2 linked regions of the Schizosaccharomyces pombe genome follow. Changing the gene in region 1 together with any one later gene gives a genetic interaction. Each region holds a gene or a part of one and is shown in the gene's direction. Other genes may lie near its edges.

Region 1 (4,391 bases):
ATCATACAACTTTCAAAATTATGAAAAGGCATATTCTTTACTAGCTGCTGGAGTTACCAATTCTTTGCTTGAATGGACAAACACTAGTGTCTCAGATAAAGAATATTTGCGAATTCAGTGCTTTATTCAATCTTGCTTGCAATATCGTTTAACCCAGGATGAAAAATATCTCATTGATTTGGATGTGAAAGTTTGCAGTCTATTCAATACAAGTGCTCGTGAAGCTCTTATCCATTATGCAAAAGCTATGAAATTACTGTCAAAGTACAATAGTCGTGAAAATATGATTACCAAATTACGTGAAAGTAGTTTATATCTCCTATATGCGCCTACTGATGCATTTCTTTTACTTTTATTGGGTCTATTGATGAGACTTGTATTGTTGAATTATGGTATTTGGCATGATAGACGATCTGCCCTTAAATTTACGGACATCGATTATTTCGTGTTTTCGGACGCATCAAAATATGTCTCCATAGGAATGTCACCGTATATGCGTGACACATATCGCTATACTCCAATGTTGGCAATTTTGCTTCTTCCTACTCAATACGGATTTCCGTCGTGGGGTAAATATTTGTTTTCAATATCAGACTTAATTGCTGGGTGGCTTATGATTAAGCTCTTATCTAGGAGGATATCTTACAAAAGGTCGTTAATTTACTCTTCCTTCTGGATATTGAACCCATTCGTCGCCATAATCAGTACTCGAGGGAATTGTGAAGCCATTCTTGGTATATTGAGCATTGCTTTGTTGTATTTGATCGAAAAAAAATCAGTTTGGCTAGCTAGCCTAATACTTGGGTTTTCTGTGCATTTTAAAATTTACCCATTTATGTATGGGATTGCTTTCTTAGTATATTTTTCAAAACCAAAAAAAGGGTCCACTTTCATGGAAAAATTTCTATCTTTATTATCGATTAATCAGTTAAAGATTGTTGTTGGTTCTTTGTTTATGTTTACGATATGTAATTTATTGATGTATTACCTTTACGGGTCTCCATTCCTTGAACATACATATCTTTACCACTTTGGTAGAACAGATCATCGACATAATTTCTCTCTACATCATTTAAACTTATACTATGAATCATCTTTCGGAGCAAAAGCGTCTTCTTTATTTGCATTTCTGCCGCAGTTAAGTTTGTGCATGCTAATACCCTTGGTCTTTGGAAAAAAGAATTTACCTGGGACTCTATTTGCCCAAACATTTGCATTTGTAACCTTTAATAAGGTTTGTACCAGTCAGGTATGTTAAGTTTGAAATTAGAAGAATGACGGATTATACTAACAACTTAGTATTTTATGTGGTATCTAGTATTTCTACCTCTGGTTTTACCAAACTCTAAGCTTTTAAGTAAGAAGGGACTTATTTGTCTGTCTCTGTGGATTATTGGTCAGCTGTTATGGCTTATTAGTGCATACAATTTAGAAATGTTGGGAAAATCGGTATTTATACCTCTTTGGCTTTCCGGCTTACTTTTTTTTTTTTTTAATGTTTATGAATTAAAAATAATATTAGATTCTTTGTAGTTAATAATCAATCTGTTTTAAGTTCTATGCAATAGATGATTTTTATAAGGATGTTCTACATTATTTCTTCACCACCGCATTAATAAGTGTAAACATTGGAAGATGACCACCCCCATTGTTTTTTGCAACCCCAGCAATATAGAAGAAAGCCTTTTGTATATTAACAAATCTTTATTTTCCAAAGGAGTAATACAAGCTGAAAAGTTACGCCTTTCTCATGACATTCGTGATAATTGCAACATAGTGAACATCATATATCGTTTATTAAGAGCAACTGACGAAGAACGTTTAGAAAAGGAATCTCTTCTTGATGCTATTAAAAATAATGAATATGAAAAGCAAAGAGATAACAATACAATAAAACGGCTCAAAAATGAGTTGGAGCTTTATCAAAACGAATGTCAATTGCAACTGAATAAAGTTAGAACACTGGAAAGAGATCAAGCTGAATTAATTACACAAAATAAAGGTTTGAAAGATGTAAATGCTAAAAATGAATTGACTTTGAAGGCATTAAAGAATCAATTATCTGTTTCATTACGCCAGCATGAGCAACAAATGGAGACTTTGAAAGGTAACTATGGACTAGTGAAAGCTCGAAAAGGAAGAAACCTAAATAGTATGTTAATCGTTAAAGAGCCTATTAAGCAAAACACAAATGCCCCCATACTACCTGAGACCGCTTCATTTTTGCAACAGAATGATGAAAATTCCAATTTCCTTAACAGTAGGGTGAATAACGATGAATTTCAATTGTTAAAAGGATTAAATAACGAATTGAAAAAAAGTAACGGAACACTTTTGACATGTTTAAGTGGTACCTTGAATTCACTGGTAGAGATGTTAAGTCCTTTATACGAACGTCCTAACTCGAACCCGTTTGAAGTATGTGAACTGAATGCTATCCTTCTTGATGCAAAAATTCAAAATCAGCTGCTTTTTATTCGTAATCTGTTGCATGAACGTAAATATGTTTCAATTGATGAATTGGATGCAATATTAGAGGAAAACGAGAAAAATAAACATTTGATAAACATTCTTCAAAAGGAGAACAAAAGAGTTTTTGAATTTTTAACAAATATGCACGACAAATTTTGACTGACTTTTAACGTAATAATTTGCTGCTTCGATTTCTTAAACGAAAGCCAATTTATTAATAATAAAGAACGCAATTCAAAGACACTTATATTCCTCTTTGAGAACTGGAAGATTGCTTTTTATTTTTTTAAATATTTATTTATTGTAAACAAGTGCATCTTCTTTCACTAAGTACAGAATTTTGAAGGCAAATTTCTATTCTCAATTGAACGATTTAACATACCTTAAAATGTGAAACTGTTAAACAGTGCACCAGGGCTTTGAAAGCATGTTGTTAAAGGATTGTAGGCACTAGCTCAAGAAAGTCGATTTAATTATTTCCATGTAAAAGTTAGTTGGAGCACTTACGATTGTGTTTAATCTTCAAAAAAATAATTAACCGGAATATTTTCTAAAAAGTCATAAGTTATTTTTAATTCTTTTTTATATTTGTAAAAAAACACCTACATAATTATAAATATATTGATATTTCGAATTTCAATTCTGCTCAAAACTACTAACACACCCCTAATAGAACAAAATATTTAAGGTACTAGTAAGCTTCAAAAATCATTATTGGTGGTTTTGTTAAAAAAGTAAAAATCAGAGTTACTATAATGATAAATAAATTTTAACAATTTTTTTTTTTAATTATACTTTTTAAGCGAATACGTTGGTGTATTAATTTTATTGGCGACAAGTCTTTAGCGAATTTAGAATAGCATTAGTAGTGTGATCAAGTACATTAGTTTTTTTTGTCAAATGTGTTCAATGTTAAACAATATAATTACCTTTTGTTATTGAAATCACATTTTCTTATTGTTTACATTTTTTAACATATAGTGCTATATATCAAGGATCGTTAAGTAGCATTGTGCATTCCCTGATACATTATGGCGCTTGCTTGGACTGCCATTTGGTTGCTCTACTTACACTATTCCACATTGAGATAAAGAATGGGTTATGAGGAGGCTTTCTTTAGATGGGCATTTCTTATAGCTACTGTTTACGTTGCGTACTATTTTTTAGTCTCAAGTGATAAAAAATTAGCTACCAAACCTCAAAAGTCTAAGCTTACTAAGTTGGGTAAACAGAAACAGAGGCAGAAACAAAAGAACACTAAGAAGGATACTTTGGTTAATCGAGAAACTCCCTCTAAAAAATCCCAAAAATTGGAAACCTCAGATGCCCTAAAGTCGAAATCGAAAGACTCTTCAAAGAAGGAACCCGTGGTAGTGCCAAAGAAGGGCACACCTAAAATTTTCCAAGAAAATCATAAAGTCAAGAAAGTAAAGTCTCCTAAGAAGGAGAAATTGGTCGGAAAAAATCCTGCTGAAAAGGAGGATACTACGGACGTTGAAGATACTCAAAAATTAGAACAGAAACATTCAACTACCCCTTCCTCTTTGAAAATGAAGTCATCAATATCTCTCGCCGCTATTACAGCAGATGACTCTTTACATAATTCGTTTTCTTCAAACGATATCGATGATGGCTTTCAAACTGTTACCAGCTCCAGGTCGTACGGCAAAAAGAAATCCACTGAACCTCTTACCAAAAGGCAACGTCAAAATCAACAAAAAAAGCTACGGGCTAAAGAAATGCAAGAACTTGCAGATGAAGAACAACGAAGAAGGCTTGCTGCACATAGAAAAGAGCTTCATGAAGCAAATAGGCCTCGTGGAGGGCTAAACAATTCTAGCCGTTCTGCTTACTCTTATATTAACAACGGTCAAGCAGGCTCTTCCAAAGGTAACCGATATGATAGTTTGTGGTAGGAA
Region 2 (18,637 bases), on another chromosome or scaffold:
TTCCCAAAACACCGATTCAAATCAATCGGAACAAATTTATATGGCACAAAAAATTGCAATTTAGTGCAATAGCTCATCGAGTAATAGATCGATGACATAGCTGAACTTTCATAATTATTTTACAGTTCTTCGGGGAAAGGGTAAAATTTAGTCATTTCATCTGAATAAGTTTTCAATTTCATGCCTCATAAGTATTTGCACAAGTATGTCAGTAAACATTAGCGGGTCAAATACCAATTTTTTGCATATAGCATACGCTAAAAAATCGATGAAATCTTTATTGTTTAAAAGTATTGGTTTACTCGTTAAACGCTTCAATTTAGCAAATATGTACATATCTTCGGCATAGTTAGCAAGTAACAAAACCATTTATAAGTTGTGGTAGATTGTTAACTAAGTGGATTCGCTTGTGATAACTTAGATTAATCGAATATGATATCTCGGCTTGTATAATTTTAATATCACCTATGCAATAAATCAGCTTTGCAAATATCACGCCGTCTTATACATAAGAACGTTCACCAGGAATCCAAACTAGTCGTACGCTAAAAATAAATTTTTACGGGTATTGGAGATCTTTTGTTTACTATAGTGCGTTAGTTTGTTCACTGCTTCTGGATAATATATATAATTTTCAATGACTTAAAGACGATGCAATACCAAGTATTACCATTATAAAGAAGAAATTAATATTAAATTTAATCCTTATTAACAGTGTGTCACTATTTGAATACTGTCCTTAGCTCCTCCATCTTTCGTTGTAAACGCATTCGAAAAGGCTTCTTTACAACTTAGACAAACAGTAGATAGAATCAGACCATGCGTTAGTATCATTAGTAATTGTAATGGTCCAAAGCATATAATAAAGAGAGATGGCACTTATTTGATTGCTTTCAAAACAAGTTCTATTTAACAAGTTACTTATATATAACGGAAAGCCAAAAATAAACCGTTTACTAGTAAAGAAACCTTTCTGAATGCTCCTATTATTAAAACGCTTTTAGGCTTGAGTGACATATTCATAGTGAAATTTACGCTCAAATATCTTCATTGAAAGTTTATTCTACTGAATATGCTTAAGTGTAAGTATTTGGTCCTTTAAATTGAAGATAATTATATATGAGCCACATAAATATTATTCTCATGTTAGAAAAAAAAATTCTTGCTTTATTTATTTGAGTATTTCCATATGCTAAAACACTCTGTATCATAAAGTCGTCTTCAGCATTCTCACTTCAAAAACTTGTATCCTTTTCAATACTCCATAATTAATAATAAAATAAAGGAACAAAATAACAATAAAATCGTTCATTATTCATTCTTTATCGCTTGAATTTCCTTCCCATGTAGGCTCCCCTTTTAACCTCTTTACACGTTTATTTTCGTACTCCTCGTTCTGTAGATTCAACTGATCTAATAAGATCCTCTATAACAGGTGGTTAATAAAAAAGGAACTGGTGAATGTAAATTCACGAAAAGCAAATGCACTTTGCAGCTGGTTGCCAAAACTTAAATATTGTAAAACAAGATCAGCACTTTACTTACATAATATTCTTCATTAACGTCGACCTTTCTTCTTCTTTTAATAATGTCTAACTCTGCATCCCGGGACAAGGATTTAACTTGTTCATCTCGTCTGTTAAATTTGACTTGGGAAATGGGGATCAAGCATGACCAGACTAATAATACTGAGCTCAAAAACGGCAATCCAACGTAAATAAACGGACTTTTCTTGGCTTGAAGCCTATACCAACTTTTAAATCGATAGAAAAGCATTTTAATTTATTAACATCCTTACATTCGCTGAAAACGATGGATTGTTAAGAATGTGTAGTAAATAGCAAGTTGGTTAAGATGATTATGGCAAACTTCACTCAGCATGTTAGGATGGAAATTAATAAGATAGTCGTTGGTTTGTAATAATTAATTTTAAGAGTAGAGTTTTAATAGAAATCTGCACTTTGAAATCTTTTTATTTCTACTAATTATTCAAGCTGCATCGCGTGACAGCATTCCTACATAGCCCAAGCACTTCAGGTGAAAACCCTTTATAGTTTTAATTACAATACACATTAGGAAAAAGAAACATATCGATGGCATGTGCTAGTGACAGACTGTGACTTCCAGTAAACATGTGTTTTACTTTGTTTACCATAAAATGGTATGTAAAATGTTTATTGAAAGTAATAAAATAGCTGAGAAAAGACCATTTAATTTCAGCTTGTGATTCAAATGAAATAATCATGCTTTTTAGTTAGGATATTTGCCAATCCCTAAAAACTTAATATATTAATTGATAGTAAGGAGTTAACTTTGAAAAGCTATGTAGCTAAATTTTGGTTTGCTTCTTTTAAACGGCTTCAATTCAGCGCTATTGTTGTTCAACAAATGAAAAATTTTGCGACATTTTAACTAATCCGTATTTGAGATTCAAAAATCAACTAAAATTTTTCAAAAAAATCCTAAAACGAACAACGTTTATGAAAACGTCTTTTCCATTTATCTGAGTTGCCTATTTAATGTCAATACTTTTACTTCTATTCAATCAAGCAGAAGAGAAGGACACATTTGGTCTATTCGGGAATTTTTCTGACTGCTATTAAAAGCTTTAATATTACAAATAAGTAAACACATTACAATTAATTCACCCAAATATTTCAAATTAGTTATTATTCTAATTACAATTATTTTTAAGGAAGAACATGTTACTTTATTGCATGAGAGACATACAACTTACAACTGTATTTTCTTCTTTAACCTTATGGCTTCTACTAGAACGACAATCATAAAATTAATTGTACCGGCAGGAAAAGCTACGCCTACGCCTCCAATTGGACCTGCCCTTGGTGCTCGCGGGTTGAAGAGCATAGACTTTTGTAAAGAATTTAATGCGCGGACGGCAGGTTGGATGCCAAATACCCCAGTGCCTTGTAAAATTACTGTCACACCTCAAAGAACATTTACTTTCACTATACATACTCCTCCAACCAGTTGGTTAATCTCTAAAACCCTCGACCTTGAAAAAGGTTCAAGTTCCCCATTACATGATATAAAGGGACAATTAAGCTTGAAGCATATATATGAAATTGCCAAATTGAAAAGTACTGATCCAAGCTTACAAGGAATAGAGCTTCTTTCTCTTTGTAAAAGTGTCATTGGAACAGCTAAAAGCATGGGCGTCAAAGTCGTACCTTAATCTTATGAGACGCCAGAGCATTTTGTAACTGGTCATACTTGAGGTTATTTTTTTTTCTATCTTGTTATAAACTATTCCCCTCTTTTTTCTTGAATAAAAGCAGTTAATGATATGACTTTTTACTATTACCGACTAAAACGTTGTCCCTGTTTTCTTATTTTCTCCTTTTCTTAGTTGTTTTATATTATTCCTTCGTTAAACAAGCAAAGTAAAAAAACACGTTTGCCATATAAAATTAAAGAATTGCATACCGTTAGTTTACAAACACATCTTAGACTAAATGATTACCTTTAGCATTAAACTATCAATATAGATAACGAAACAGATATGCTAAGCAGAAAAGAAAATGAAGATTTTCAAGTGTGAGTTTTATGTTTACTCTAAGTCACGCCTTATGAAATGCAGCTCAATAAAAGAGAGCCTCAAACTCTGTCTATCTATCAAAAAATAAGAAAAAAAAAACCAAGATTAGTACTGCAGAAACGCTCGAAAATAAAAGAAATGGCTTATGCTATAGGGAGGCATAATTGATGCTTGGCTTGAATAACAGCATCACGATCACCAGTATTTTTCATGATATCGTCACTAATCTTCACTGCTTTAGTTCCTTCAGCGGAAAAAAGCTTAATAACAATATTCATAGGTTTGCTCACTTCACTGGGATTGGAAACTTTTTGGAAGTCGCTGGTAAGATTTGTGCCGATGCCAAATGCAGACTTAATGCCACATTTCTCGCAGTATTTGTACAGTTCGATACATCTGTCAACATTTAAAGCATCGCTATGAACAATTACTTTTGTGGAAGGATCGACACCTATTGATTTATAGTGCTTTACGACTTTTTCAATGTATTCCTCAGCACAACCGCTATCTTGACGAACACCATGGAAAACATTGGCTAAATCGTCGGCAGAATTGGCTGTAAAAGATTTGAGAAACACATCAGTAGAGAATGTATCCGTTAAGGCTATTAAAAGACTAGTACCAAAAGTTTGGACCCACTTTAAGGAAGCAATACGATTTGCTTGTTTATAATTTTGAGTAATAGCTGCAATGCCCATATACCACTCGTGAGCAACCGTACCAGAGACATTTAGATTATATTTGGCGGCGAAGTAAACATTAGATGTACCAAGGAAACTTCCAGGGCCCTTAAAATCCTCTTGTGCTTTCATGAGACCTTGGAGAACAATTTCCTGGGTGTGAGGATCACGACGACGACGAGTGCCAAAGTCAGTAAAGGCACATCCGGCTCGGATGAGACGCTTACCCTTCTCGTAAGCTTTTTCAAACTGACCCTCAGGTGACCAGTCCTTATCGACAAATTTAAAATAAGATTCTGAGACGAGAGCAAGCAGTGGAATTTCATAAAAAATGGTATTCTTCCAGAGGCCGTGAATAAAGATTGAGAGATCCTTAGTTTCAGAATCATAATTAAGGGAAATTGAATTTTCAGGATCAAATTCGAACTCATGCATGAATTCATAAAATGATTCCTTTAAATAAGGACAGTTCTTGCGAAGCCATTGCTCTTCTTCAGGAAGTAAATGTAAATTCCGTAAGCCTCTTATTTGTTCCCGTAACCAGTTATAAGCCTCCTGATTTAATGCCATTTTTGGGGACCGGTTTGTATACTTATATGATACTTGAGCATCCGGATAATGCTCTAAAACGGCTTGAAGCATGGTGAGTTTGTAAAGATCCGTATCGAGGATAGAGACAACAGCCGGTTCACTCATCGTAGCAAAAAGGATAGATATATTTTCAAATTATATATTAATATTGGTTGAAAACCTGAGGTGTATAGAACCCGACGAAACTTTTTTATGAAATCAATGAACGTTTGCCGTTAGCGCATTAAAAACGCAAGGAAATCAAAATCAAATAGAATTAAAATTTAAAGTGTCTTGATATGAAAGATATTAATTATAATTTCCCCTACTAATGTCAATTTCAATCAGAACACTCTTAGTCGCAGGAAATAGAAGTCAATTTTTTTGTGAAGGTTTTCAAAATTTTAAAGGGTTAGGATCTTTTTCAAGTTAGTGTCAATTGTCAAATAGATGTGAAACATTATATTTTATACTACATGCGCATGTTATAATGCAGACTCGAAAAGTATACCCGCCAAAATTGCAGGAAATCAAATTATATTATTTTTAACAAACGAGCATACCTTCAACAAACAATTGTACTACTTTAATAGCCTGTAGCAAACAAAACCAATTTGAGGACGAATCTGATCTTGGTAGATTGACATTTTGTATCTTGGCGATGATTTACTTTTTCAAGTAACATCATGGTATTGTTACTTACTTTTATTTACGATGTTAAAATTGTTCGCCTTTTTATGGCATTAGGAATAACTTTTCAATTTGCTTTTCATTAATTGATAATTGAAACTCAATCTTTATACTGGCACATATTTTCTAAAGTTCTTTTCAAAAATTCATTAAAATGGGTTTACAACTAAATATGATATTCTTAAGTGTTTTTCATAAGACCATTTCTAATATATTGCAATTTTAGCAGGACAAAAAAGAGAATTCCAAAAATTTCATTTCCTTTCCGTAAGTACTTGCCTATCCTGACTCTTGTATATATTAATTCAGGAGCATTAGGACGCTCATTTAAAAATCTTCCGGTACAAGTAGTAAGGGTGATAATTTTAAACTTCCATAAAGCACAGAGCATAGCATAACTCAAGTGTTAAAAAATATATTTTTTTGGTCACAAAGAATTCAGAATTTCGTTATTAGCATGTAGTAAAAGACATCACTAAGAAACAGTTCAAAAAAACTAACGAGTAATTTCGGACGAGGTTTTGCGGAAAAAGTAAATTTTTAATGCGCAAAATTGAGATAAAGTACACCCTTGAAATTTTTTAATAAGCTCTATAACGGAAAAGGCAGTCGAGTATATCGTCAGATAAATCATCAATTCACCACTTTTGGACATCAGCTTACTCGGGGCTTTCCAATCCTACACGTCTAGCAGCAAGCTTTACTTTTTCAAGTTCATTTACATTTGCTAACGGATGATGGCGATTAAATAACAGTTCATGTTGATTTCCCGATTTCAAAAATGCAACCACCTCTTGAAATTTTGATAGCTGCTCAACCTTGTTATTTCTAAGACAAGCTTTGGTATATACTAAGAAGTCTTTTTGGGTCTTAGTGAATCCTTTCTTTTGTTTGAGGGTACTGGTCTTATATATTACATTCTGAAGACTATTAATGCTTCGCCCCATACTTCAAAATACTTACCATCTCGCGCAATTGACGCAAAAGTGACCGATAAACAGTAGTAGGAGTACTCATCGTTTAAATTATCTTCTCTTTATGGATCTAAGGTTGGTATTATACCTACAAAATCCTTATGAATGATTGCGCGTTTAGAGAGAGGTGTTTCTTGTAGTTGCTAATGAATCCACTAACTTCATTATAGAACAACGAACAAGTAGCTTAAAGCAAGAGAACAATTACTATTATTGGTGTCATTTAATAAATGTTTAAAGAAGTTAAAGCCAACAAAAATATATATTCATTCATTATTTACAAAAGACGTTGAACTCAGAACATATATTCCGATTTCATTAAATATAGATTTTTTTTCTAATTCATCGTATAAACCAATCTAGAATACTAAATCAAAATTGCACAGATATATTTTGTAAATTCGCTAGACTGTCAGCAAGTGGTAAGGGGAGATTACATATAGCATCCGTAAGTGACTCTTCATTACAAAGCGCGTTAACAAACCGCGAAATTTTGTGCAAAGCAGCCTTTTGTAACAAATTAGTAGCATTCAATTCTTTCAATGCTACGCTAATTTTACGAAGTGTAAAAAGCTTTAGCTCTTGATTAGCATCAAAGTTACCTTCTAAAAGATCCAAATAATCGGAATAAATTTGACCTCCAAATCTCCAAGAAGCCAACCCATCTGTTTGCCCATTAAATCCTTCTAGTGCTTTTTTCAATTGTGTCTTATTACCACTTATAACAGCCTGTGGAGCCAAGGTATCCAACAACACCTTATGCGCATCTTCATACAAAGCAGCTTCCTGAAGGAAATAAAGCTCGTTTAAGTGATCACCAACATAACGTGCATACAACGCTTTGGCCTCGTTTAACCAGGATTCAGGGATACATAACTTTTCAATCATTTCAACAGCACCAGCACCTAATCCCCCACGAAGGTTTCGTGCTAAACATGAAGTGATAGTCGATGTTCGGGTTTCTACATTCTCCAAATGCAATAAAACAAATAATGACCATAACCATTGCCCTGATGCTTCCAACTGGGAAGCATATGCCAGAGTCAATTGATCAGAATGAACACTAATAGGTTTTAGATCTTCAGCCATGTTAATATCCACCACTCTATCTGAAAAGTCACATAAGGATCTAGCTTTCGATAAGTAAATTGCCAATTGCCATACTACTCTGTAATTCAGCGGCGAACATTTAGCGCTTTCCGGTATAGTAAGTTCTTCTAAACTAGTGCCCATAGCATACGCTTTGAGCAAAAGATAAATAATGTCATATACTTCAATACCTTGCACAGCACTAGTGGCGATTGGTTTCTGCATGATTTCAGGAAACTTTTGCAAAGACTCAACATACAATTGCATAGCTTCACCTATACTAATATCAGTGTTGTACCACAACTTTAAGCCGAATGCTCTTAACCAGGTCATATTTTTTGTAATGGGTATAGATTGAACATAATCCTCATCTCCTTTAGTCCCACAGCCTTCAGCAATATCAGTATTACCAGAAAGCAATTCGAATATTAGTCTTGTAAATTTATTGATGAAGGGTAAATCACCGTGTTTTCTCCATTCCTCCAATTGCTGTTTCACCTCTTGCTGGATATCTACATCACTATTGACTAAAGGTATAAGCGTGGATAAACGATTATTTTGGGATTGGACCGCTTCCTCACAAGCCTGACCAATAAGGTTTCCTGTTAACAAAATGTAAATACGTTCTTCTGATGTTTCGGCTTCCTTTGCTAATGTAGTTGTTTCATGCTCAAGTGTCTTAGTAATCCATTCAGATAAAGATTCCCGTACAAGCTTTTGATAAAGAACTTCACGAGCCTCTGATGAGAGTTCTGAAGGCAAGGAGTAGTTTTTTGGGTCAAATAGAATTGAAGTCAGATCCCACACTATGCTTTCATATCCAGAAGAACATAGCGATAAAGGTTTGACAGTCATAGATGAACGAGGTGAAGCAGCATGGGTCCCACTCAAATCCAAGTAAACTTCTGTTTGATCGAGCTGATACTCTAACAACTTCGTGCCATTTGGATCTTTGGTAGGTATAAAATCATATATCGATCTTATTTTTACATCCGAAGATTTCAGCACGTATATACATGATCCGTTGGCAGTAAAATGAAATTTTGAGGGTATGAAAGCCCCCGGCTTATCTAAAGATTGCCAAGGTCTATCGGTGTCGAGGTTTTGATTTCCAAAAATGTCCGTCACTAAATCATGTTCGTTATAATATATACCTCTAGAGTTTTTTAAATTTGCATTTGATTGACTTTCAGGAAAAGCAGCTTTTATTAAAGCCGAGCGTTGAACACTCAAATTTAATTGGTCTCTCCAATTATCTGTAACGACAAGCCCATGAAAATCTTGGGCTCCAAAACGCATAGAAGACAGTTCCTCCCTGTCCGACTCCTCGCTAATATCCTCAATATCCATATTGTCTGCTGCCAAACTAGCATCAGACTCTTCTACTAGGCTATAAACGGATTCATTAGAAGATTCCGAAGAATTTGATAAGTCATCTTCAGAAAGTGGAACGTTATTTTCCTTCGAGTATCCATCGACTTTTTCGATAGAAATAACCTCGTCGACTTTTTTTGCATTATCGTCATAGTCACCTCTTTCTGAGACATTTGAATCGCTAGAAAAATCAAGTTTGACTTTCTTGGACATAAAAGTATCATCCAAAGGGGCAGAATCATCAACTTTTAGGAAATGGCGGTTCAATTCCTTGTTCTTACTGTCGTTGGGAAATGCACCTGGTGTATGGTGAGTAACAAATGAATCATTTTTTCCCGAAACTTTCAAGTTTGGTTGATCATACTTTTTTAAATTACCTGCTTCATTACTAGTTGATGACATATCGTTTTCTTCCTCTTCATCATCCAGCAAACCGTATCTAGAGAAATGCTGAACCTTGAAGATCCATTTTCCGTCATTAAAGTCAATAAATTCGGTATCTTTAATACGATGAAGTCTCTTTACATGTTGAATGTATCTAGGGTTCTGAGGATCCTTAATAGGCTCTCGAGTCTCTCGAGATAATGGCCAGGTTTTTTCAAGTGTAATTATGGCAGGAACATTAAGGCCTTCACCCAAAGGAGGACTTGATCCCTCAACAGGATATACGGCGCAAATCTTTCTCTCAAAAACAACGACCTTGCCAGGTATGTCTTCAAGCTTTTCGAATCCACTCAAATCGACGGGTTTTAAAAATGCAACTTGGCCATAGCCAGTGCGACCGACAGAGAATTGATGGACAGAACATAATTTTTCTTTAGGATACTTAGAAAGCTCCTCAATTGAGGGTTTCATCCAGTAATCGTCAGATAGAACTACATGTTCGTCTTTCTTTAAAGAGCCATCTGCTTCATTTTGAGGTGCTTTTTCTTGTACTTTTGAGTCTGATTTGGCATCGTTGCCATTTTTCACACCATTTTGCAGGATATCATCTTTGGAGATTTTGTGGGTAATAACCAGCTTTTTTATGTTTTGTCTCGGAGTAAAAGCATCGGCGCTCAGCAACACATCATCGTTAAGCGAATCAAACAGGTGTAGTGATTTCGGTTTACCAGAAGCACTTGTTGAATTCATTACAGCCGATTTGGCAAAAGAGGAAATAGAAGCCAAACGTGCAGTATTATGCGAACGAGGTGACAACCAAAATTGTGGTAGAGAAGCTGCCTTTTTGGGAGTCGGTTTAGAAGTCAACGGTGAAGCTATCGGTTCCTGAATACTAGTTGGTGCAACTTGTGAAGTTGTGCTTGAAAATAAGGGATTATTGCCGTAAGGGTTTTGGTCTATACTGGCCTGTAATGGTTGTTGCTGTTGTCCAGCTTGAGATCCACCAAATAACCCAGTACCAAAATTTGAAGTTTGTGCTTGGTTGTTAGTATTAGAAGCCCCAAATAATCCAGATGTAGTTGTAGATGGTTGTTGAGCAGTTGTGTTACCAAACAAACCACCAGTTGTAGTAGAAGGCTTATTAAACAAACTACCACCGGTATTGGTTGTGTTTGCATTATTGGATCCAAAGAGCCCGGTTCCGGTATTGGAAGTAGCATTATTCGTTTGCGTAGAGCCAAATAAACCGGTACCAGGAGTACTGGAGTTGGCTGATCCAAACATGTTAGAACCCGCAGTGTTCGCATTTCCGAATAAACTTCCGCCAGTGCCGGTAGCATTAGTAGCTGTGTTGGTATTAGCACCGGCTCCTAAACCACCAAACAAACCTGTCCCTGCTGGTTTAGGAGCAGTGGTAGCAGTGGATCCAAAAGCTGGCTTGGGAGCATTATTAGCATTTTGCCCAAAAGAAAAACCTCCGCTGGCAGGAGTAGTGGTCGTGGAACCAAAACCGAATCCAGAAGGCTTAGTGGCTGCATTATTATTGGCACCAAAGGAAAAATTACTACTATTGTTACCACCAAAAGTAGATGTTGGAGCGGTGTTATTATTTGCCGTATTATTATTAGCGCCAAAACCAAACAAACCTGTACCCATGGTACCTGAATTGGGTTGGTTATTCGTGTTGCTTCCAAACCCCCCAGTAGAAGAACCAAATCCCGTACCCGTACCAGTGGCAGCACCACCAAATAAGCCACCCGTAGTTTGACCTGTTCCTGTATTGGTTGCGTTATTTGAACCAAAAAGACCCGTTCCTGTACCAGTATTGGTAGTGTTAGTGGTTGAGCCAAAACCTGAAAAAGCTGGTTTTTGTTGATTAAATGTAGAGCCACCAAAAAGACCGGTTGAAGGAGTTGAGGTGGTATTATTGTTTTGACCAAATAACCCACCGGATGCATTATTTGTTCCAGAACCAAACCCTGTATTGGTAGTGTTACTACCAAATGCAGATCCACCGCCAAAGAGACCGGAACCAGGAGTGGTATTAGTAGCATTCGATGTACCAAACGGTGTTGCATTATTTGTGGTACCTGACAAATTCTGACCAAACGGAGTAGTTGAAGCTCCAAATGCGGGTGTTGAACCAAATGCAGAAGTAGTGTTCGTACTAGAAGCATTGCCAAAACGTCGTCCTTGATTATAGTCTTGTAAACGCAACTCTTCAAATGAATAAGATCTATAAGCGGGCATACAAGTTATAGACTGGAAGACACTAGTACCGTTTGTTTGAGGGTCTTTTTCAGAAGTTACCGCATAAGGTGGGTTAGCTGTACCATTCACAGCGTTTGCATTGCTTGAGACAAATCCAGAGGTTCCGAAAGCGTTGGTCGTAGCGGGTGTAGTGGACGAACCAAACAAGCCACCACCAGTACCTTGCGAACCAAACCTGTATTTCCAGCAGTATTGCCAGCGTTATTTTGAGAACCAAACAAGCCACCACCGGTACCAGTATTCGATGCAGTGTTACCGAACCCTGTTGAACCAGCGTTCGATCCAAAAGAAAATGACGTTCCAGTATTTGCATTGTTGTTGGCGGTATTTGATCCAAAGAGGCCACCACCACTAGGATTTGTGGCGTTGTTCGTGCCTCCAAAAGCAGGAGTATTGGATTGGCCAAACATACCTGTCCCAGAGGACATTCCAAAACCTGTGCCACCAGTCGTGGTAGTGTTGTTTCTATTTCCAAATAGTCCACCGTTCGTATTTGATCCAAACAAGGGTTGAGTAGTGTTCTGCCCAAAGCCAGTTGTAGAAGTGTTTTGGGAACCAAACAAAGTGTTCCCTGGAGTATTGGAGTTGGAACCAAATAACCCACCAGTTTGTTGATTATTTTGACCGAAAGCACCGGTTCCTCCTCCAAATCCGGAAGAATTGTTTTGTCCAAACATCACTAGGATGATATTTGATTAAATAATTAGTAAAGTCACCAAAATTGGTGTTGTGTGGACGACAGGTCCGAATAGTGCACTGCTACTCAAGATACGTTCAAGGCGTGATAGAGAAGAATACAGAAATTTAGCTTTTTTTTTAATACTCACGGTAATTACAATTTTTAAATTTGCTTCATTTGTTTTTCTCAACGTAATTGTCGCATTTCTTCTAACGTGGTATTATTTCTGTACATCGAGGTTGATCACTTACTTCTCGTATACGTACACTGGTGCTTCATAAGTCATCGAACGTTGATTCCAGGCTAGAAAATGTCTTCGGGGGGACTTGAAGATGATATTCAGCTGGTACACGAGTTTTTGGATGTATCTTTTGAGGATATAAAACCCCTGGTGTCTGTCAATGGTTTCGCTGTATTTATATCTGCTATTAAAACCAAGGTTAAAGACATAAACGCTTTAAAGGATCAGCTTGTCCTTCAAGAAGTCAACCATGAGCATAAGGAGAATGTTCTTACGAAGAAGATTAACTTTCTTGAGCAACAACTTCAATCTTCTAATAATCAAGCAGAGGAATCACGTAATCTTATATCGGTATTGAGAAATGAGAACGAATCGCTGAAAACCAACTTGGAGAATCAAAATAAGCGCTTTGATGCATTGACTACTGAGAACCAGTCGCTTAGAAGGGCTAACTCTGAATTACAAGAGCAATCTAAGATTGCTTCTGAGCAGCTTTCAATCGCGAAAGATCAAATCGAAGCCCTACAAAATGAAAATTCACATTTAGGAGAGCAAGTCCAGAGTGCGCATCAAGCATTGTCTGATATTGAAGAAAGAAAGAAACAGCACATGTTTGCTAGCAGTAGCAGTCGTGTCAAGGAAGAGATACTCGTTCAGGAGAAAAGCGCTTTAGTCTCTGATTTGGCTAGTTTGCAATCAGATCATTCGAAAGTTTGCGAAAAATTAGAAGTTTCATCTCGTCAAGTTCAAGATTTGGAGAAAAAGCTTGCTGGGCTTGCCCAACAGAATACAGAGCTTAACGAAAAAATACAGCTTTTTGAGCAAAAGCGGAGCAATTATTCCTCCGATGGGAACATATCAAAAATCCTTGAAACCGACCCCACTTCAATCAAAGAACTTGAAGAAGAAGTGGAAACTCAGAAACGACTTACAGCTCTTTGGGAGTCTAAATCTTCAGAGTTGCAATCAGAGGTTGCTGCACTTCAAGAAAAGCTCACTTCGCAACAAAGTCTATACAATAATGTGACCGAAGAGTTAAATAATAACAAGCAACAGCTATTGATTTCGGAGAATAGTTTGCGGGAACTGCAAGAGAAATATGATAGTGTAGTTAGTGAACTACAAGTGGTTAAAGAAAATAAAAATACCTCTGTTTCAGCTGGTGTAGGTTTGTTTTCTCCTTTGGCGCAAAAGTTAAGCGCCGTTCAAAATCCCGAATTTTCATTTACGAAAGTATATTCGGACAATATGAAACTCCAACAGAAGGTTTCTAGCTTAAAGCTTCAGCTAGACCGCTTGACTAACAAATTCTCCTCATTTTGTGAACAAGTTAAACAAAGGATTCCAGTTGTCAAACAACAGAGGAGTGAAATCGTTAGGAATAACATTTATATGAATTTTCTTAGCGAATCTTTGGAAACATCTAACAACAACCTAACCAAAGTACAAGCAGAGCTTTTATCGACCAAAATGCGCCAAGAAGCTTGTTACTTGCAGCTCACCGCATCTCGTACTCAATGCAGTGATCTTTCTCGAGAAGTTATTTGTCTCATGGCCGAACTTGATCATTTGAATGAAACTAAATCAAGAAACGTTCCCGCTACTGTGCAAGTTGCGCTTGATGAATACGCTCAAAATCCCTCTACTGCATCTGAGACACTAGTAAACAAGGAGCTTGCTAATTTTTCATCTATAAAGGAAGCTGTTTCGAAAACTCTAGAACTGCGGGAAAAAGTGCGGGCCCTTGAATGCGATGTTGAAATCCAAAAGCAAACTGTCCAATATCAAATTTCCAATGCAGTTAAAGAAAATTCAAATACACTTTCAGAGCAAATCAAAAATTTGGAAAGTGAGTTAAATTCGTCAAAAATAAAAAATGAGTCCTTACTTAATGAACGAAATTTACTGAAAGAAATGTTAGCTACTTCTCGAAGCAGTATTTTGTCTCACAATTCTTCCGCGGGCAATATTGATGACAAAATGAAATCCATTGATGAATCTACAAGAGAACTTGAGAAAAATTACGAAGTTTATCGTAACGAAATGACAGCTATTCAGGAATCCTTGTCTAAGCGAAATCAGGATTTGTTGAGTGAGATGGAAGCAATACGTAAAGAGTTAGAAAATTCCAAATATCAGCAGCAGTTATCTACTGATAGATTAACTAATGCTAATAATGACGTTGAAGCCTTTAAAAAGGAAGCCAAGGAGCTTCGTAGTATTAATCAAAATTTACAGGATATAATTAGTCGACAGGATCAGAGAGCCAGTAAATTTGCCGAAGAATTATTACATGTTAACTCACTTGCTGAAAGATTAAAAGGTGAACTAAATGCTTCGAAGGGTGAAAAAGATTTACGGAAAAGGACGCAAGAGCGTTTAATATCTGAAAACGATAAACTTTTGGCTGAGCGCGAGAGACTAATGAGTCTTGTATCAGATCTTCAAACTTTTCTTAACCAGCAACAGCTATCTGATGCTGCTAGAAAAGTAAAATTTGAATCTGAGAAGGAAAGCTTAAGCCTTTCCTTGCAGAAGTTGAAGGAGTCAAATGAAAAGATGAGTAATGATCTTCATTCTCTACAGAAATCTTTGGAAAAGAGCGGAATTGAGTACTCCAGCAGGATTAAGACATTAATGCTCGAAAAACAATCGTTAAGTGAAGACAACAGGAAATTGTTAGATAATCAACAAATGATGGAAATAAAACTCCAAGAATTAAACGGCGTCATTGAACTTGAAAAACAAAGATTTTCTACTTTGGAAGCCAAGTTTACACAGCAAAAAAATACGTCCTATAGCGAAAGGGAAGCTTTGCTAGAATCATCGCTTAGTGACTTGCAATCTAAACATACTTCCTTAGAATCCCAATACAATTATTCTTTAAGGAATATTGAACAGTTACAGGCCGCAAGCAAACTCGCCGAAGAAATGGTTGAAAGAGTTAAAACTGAGTATGATGAGTATCGATTGCAAACTTCAGAGTCCTTGGAAAAAAATCATTTAAAAATCACTTCTCTTGAACAAAGGATAGTTATTCTACAAGATGAGATAGCTTCTTCTTCTTTACGCTGTGAGAATATTACTAAAGATAGCGAAACAAGAGTTGCCTTGCTTTTAGAGGAAAATAAGCATCTTAACAATGAGCTTTCGTCACACCGAAATGCTGAAAAGCAACATTTAGAGAAGGAGAATGATTATAAACAACAGTTGTTGTTGGTAACTGAAGATTTAAGAAAAACTCGTGAAGATTATGAAAAGGAACTTTTAAGACATGCCGATGCTAGATCGACTCTTCAAAAACTGCGCGAGGATTACACGAAGGCATTAGAACAGGTTGAAGATTTGAATAAAGAAATAGCCTTAAAGGCCGGTATAAACGAATCTCAGCCCTTTCCCATTAGTGAAAAAGAAGATCCTTTGAGACAGGAAGTTTATGTCCTCAAAAAGCAAAACGCAATGCTTTTAACCCAACTTCAATCTTCCAATCTCAACTTTGCAGAAATAACTAGCCCATCCCCGGATTTAGATTCTGTTATGAAATTAGGATTATCAGATTTACAGAATCATGTGAAGCGTATATCCAAAGAAATGGAGATTATTTCATGCCAACGACAATTATTATTCCTTGAAAATAAGAAACTCAAGCGAACCGTTGAATCATCGAATCGAGTTATCGCCGATCTGCAAAGAGGTATAACGGAAAAGGATGTTAGCAGTACTTCTGAATCCGTTGGGGAACGTTCAAATTATCTAAACATGGTTGCTTTATTAAATGAGAGCAACAAATCTCTCCGAGAAAATTTAGAAAGGAACGAGGAAGTTATCACAGAGTTAAGAGAGAAAATAGAAACTCTTAAAACTGATTTGGCGAATTTTAGACTTAATAAAGAACAACTAGAATCACAGCTTCAAACAGAGAAAGCAGCTGTAAAAAAGCTTGAAAACAGCAACGAAGAATACAAGCGTCATAACCAAGAAATATTACTATCTTTGAACAGTAGCACATCTACGTCTAGTGATGCTTCACGCTTAAAGAATGAACTTGTTTCCAAAGAAAACTTAATAGAGGAGTTAAATCAAGAAATTGGTCATTTGAAATCTGAATTGGAAACTGTTAAATCAAAAAGCGAAGATTTGGAAAATGAGAGAGCGCAAAACCAATCCAAGATTGAACAATTAGAGTTGAAGAATACAAAACTAGCAGCTGCTTGGCGAACTAAATATGAGCAGGTAGTTAACAAGAGCTTAGAAAAGCACAATCAAATACGTCAACAACTTTCGCAAAAGACTTCTGAATTAGAAGCCAAGGTTGCGGAATGTCATCAGCTCAATGAACAACTCAACAAACCTTCTGCAACCCCCACTGCTACTACACAGTCTGAACCAAGTACGGTGTCACTGGAAGAATTCAATAGCACTAAGGAAGAACTATCTTCTACACAGCGAAAGCTAAGTGAAATTATGGATATCTTAAATACTACGAAGGAGGAGCTTGAGAAGGTCAGACAAAATAGTAATAAATCTGAGGGAACCAGTAAGGATACTGAAATACCCAACGAAGAAGAAATGGAAAGGAAGAAAGTCATGCAACAGGAAGTTTTGAGGTTACGTTCGAGAATTGCAAAAGAGCTACAGAAAAACGAATTACTCAGGAAACAAAATCAGGTTTTACAAGATCAAGTGAAAGCTTTGCAAGAGACAGTTGTGTCATCCGAGGAAGCAGAGTCCGCTTCGGTACATGCTGATACTAAAGATTTGGAAAACTTAAAAAAGACAGAAGAGATGTTATCAGTTACATTTCAAGTAATCTTCAACGAGTCCATATCTGACTTTTCGACTTCCACTGCCGACTTTACTACTTTTGTGCAAAAGGAATGGGAAAAGCGCAGAGAAATTTTACAGAAGGATGTTGAGGAACAAGTTGCTCAGTCGCATCAAAAACAACTAGATAACATCCGAAAAGAACTCGAGATGCGTAACAAGTTGAAGTTGAGCATGCTGGAAAAGAACTTAGCTAGAGTGCGAGCAGAGTTGGAGCAATCGAAGAAAAAAGATAGCCCTGCAATTTTAAGTTTGGAAGCTTCTAAAAACACTGATTCCAATAAAAGCAATTCTGAAGTCCCAGCAGCTCAAGTTAAAGAGAAAAAGTTAATCGCCAAAACTCACTCTGTTGACACTAATTCTCCTCCTAAACGGTCCAGTTCAGACGCTGGTATGGATGTTTCCAATGATGTTAAGAAAGCCAAATAGTAAAATATGAATTTTTTGGTATAATGCCCTTTTTAATGTTTCTTAAGAGTTTGTAAACAGATAATAAAATAGGTTAGCTGCATAATTATTATTTCTGGTTTCCAATAAAAAAAACGACTTTAATTTTATTATAATAAAAAGCTTTGTATTGTAATTTAATATTTTGATATTTTTTGAAGAGCTATAGATATTTTGCGCAACTAATGTCCTTATTCAGATATGTAAGCTACGCAGTTTGGTATCTGATTTAAGGATACGTAGAACTGCGGTGAGTTTTCCTTGTGGTCTATTATATTACAATACACAGGTTGTATAAGTAGCAACTGAGTATAGGTATTGTATTAACTGGGTTATAATGTTACCTATCACTAATATAGCTCATAACTGAACTGAGGAACGAGGTTCAGTTGTAACGGTATTTATAATATTTCTAAATAGTTGTTATCAACGGGTAACTATGTATATAGACGGATAGTTACCCGTGATTATCAATAAACGGATCTTAGCTAGTATTCCAACATATGACATATAGTGATACGCAACGTAGTGTATCATAGCGTAGTGTAGTATTGCTGACAAGATAAAATAAATAATGACGTTTTCGCGTGTTCTTAAGCTTAAGAACGTAACGCGCAAAAACTCATTATATGACATCCATATTTAACCCACTGGAGAACTGACCCAAAATAGAAAATTTCGGTTTTCATTGGTTTTTATTTATATTGAATTCTTGGGTTGATATGCAAAATGAGTATGTCGATATGAATTCATCTTCCGAGGATTCAGATGGTGATTCAATTTTGGAAGAAGGACGTCTTCGTCCATCTTTTCGTGGGCAGCAAAAAGAAAGGGACATGCTAGGAATATTTGGTG

The links.
Region 2: mutations in msd1 (region 1) and alm1 are lethal when combined (synthetic lethality), as found in Schizosaccharomyces pombe (one study listed by BioGRID).

What each region holds. Positions count from the first base shown.
Region 1 is NC_003423.3:3,048,945-3,053,335, forward strand, and holds msd1 (microtubule-anchoring factor Msd1), read left to right. Parts: upstream 1-1,606; 5' UTR 1,607-1,635; coding exon 1,636-2,631; 3' UTR 2,632-3,015; downstream 3,016-4,391. Other genes in the region: gpi14 (pig-M family mannosyltransferase), read left to right, coding at 1-1,249, 1,300-1,533; SPOM_SPBC13E7.07 (uncharacterized protein), read left to right, coding at 3,567-4,388. UniProt on the Schizosaccharomyces pombe protein: Has a role in meiosis.
Region 2 is NC_003424.3:3,190,659-3,209,295, reverse strand, and holds alm1 (nucleoporin Alm1), read left to right. Parts: upstream 1-12,528; 5' UTR 12,529-12,580; coding exon 12,581-17,764; 3' UTR 17,765-17,849; downstream 17,850-18,637. Other genes in the region: cytochrome c oxidase assembly protein Cox16, read right to left, coding at 1,316-1,426, 1,546-1,776; mrpl19 (mitochondrial 54S ribosomal protein uL11m), read left to right, coding at 2,762-3,196; npt1 (nicotinate phosphoribosyltransferase), read right to left, coding at 3,703-4,935; F1F0 ATP synthase assembly factor Fmc1, read right to left, coding at 6,159-6,419, 6,463-6,516; ntr1 (RNA-binding splicing factor), read left to right, coding at 18,505-18,637. UniProt on the Schizosaccharomyces pombe protein: Maintains the proteasome and its anchor cut8 at the nucleus envelope and is required for kinetochore component proteostasis. Proper kinetochore stoichiometry ensures the correct attachment of kinetochores to spindle microtubules during cytokinesis.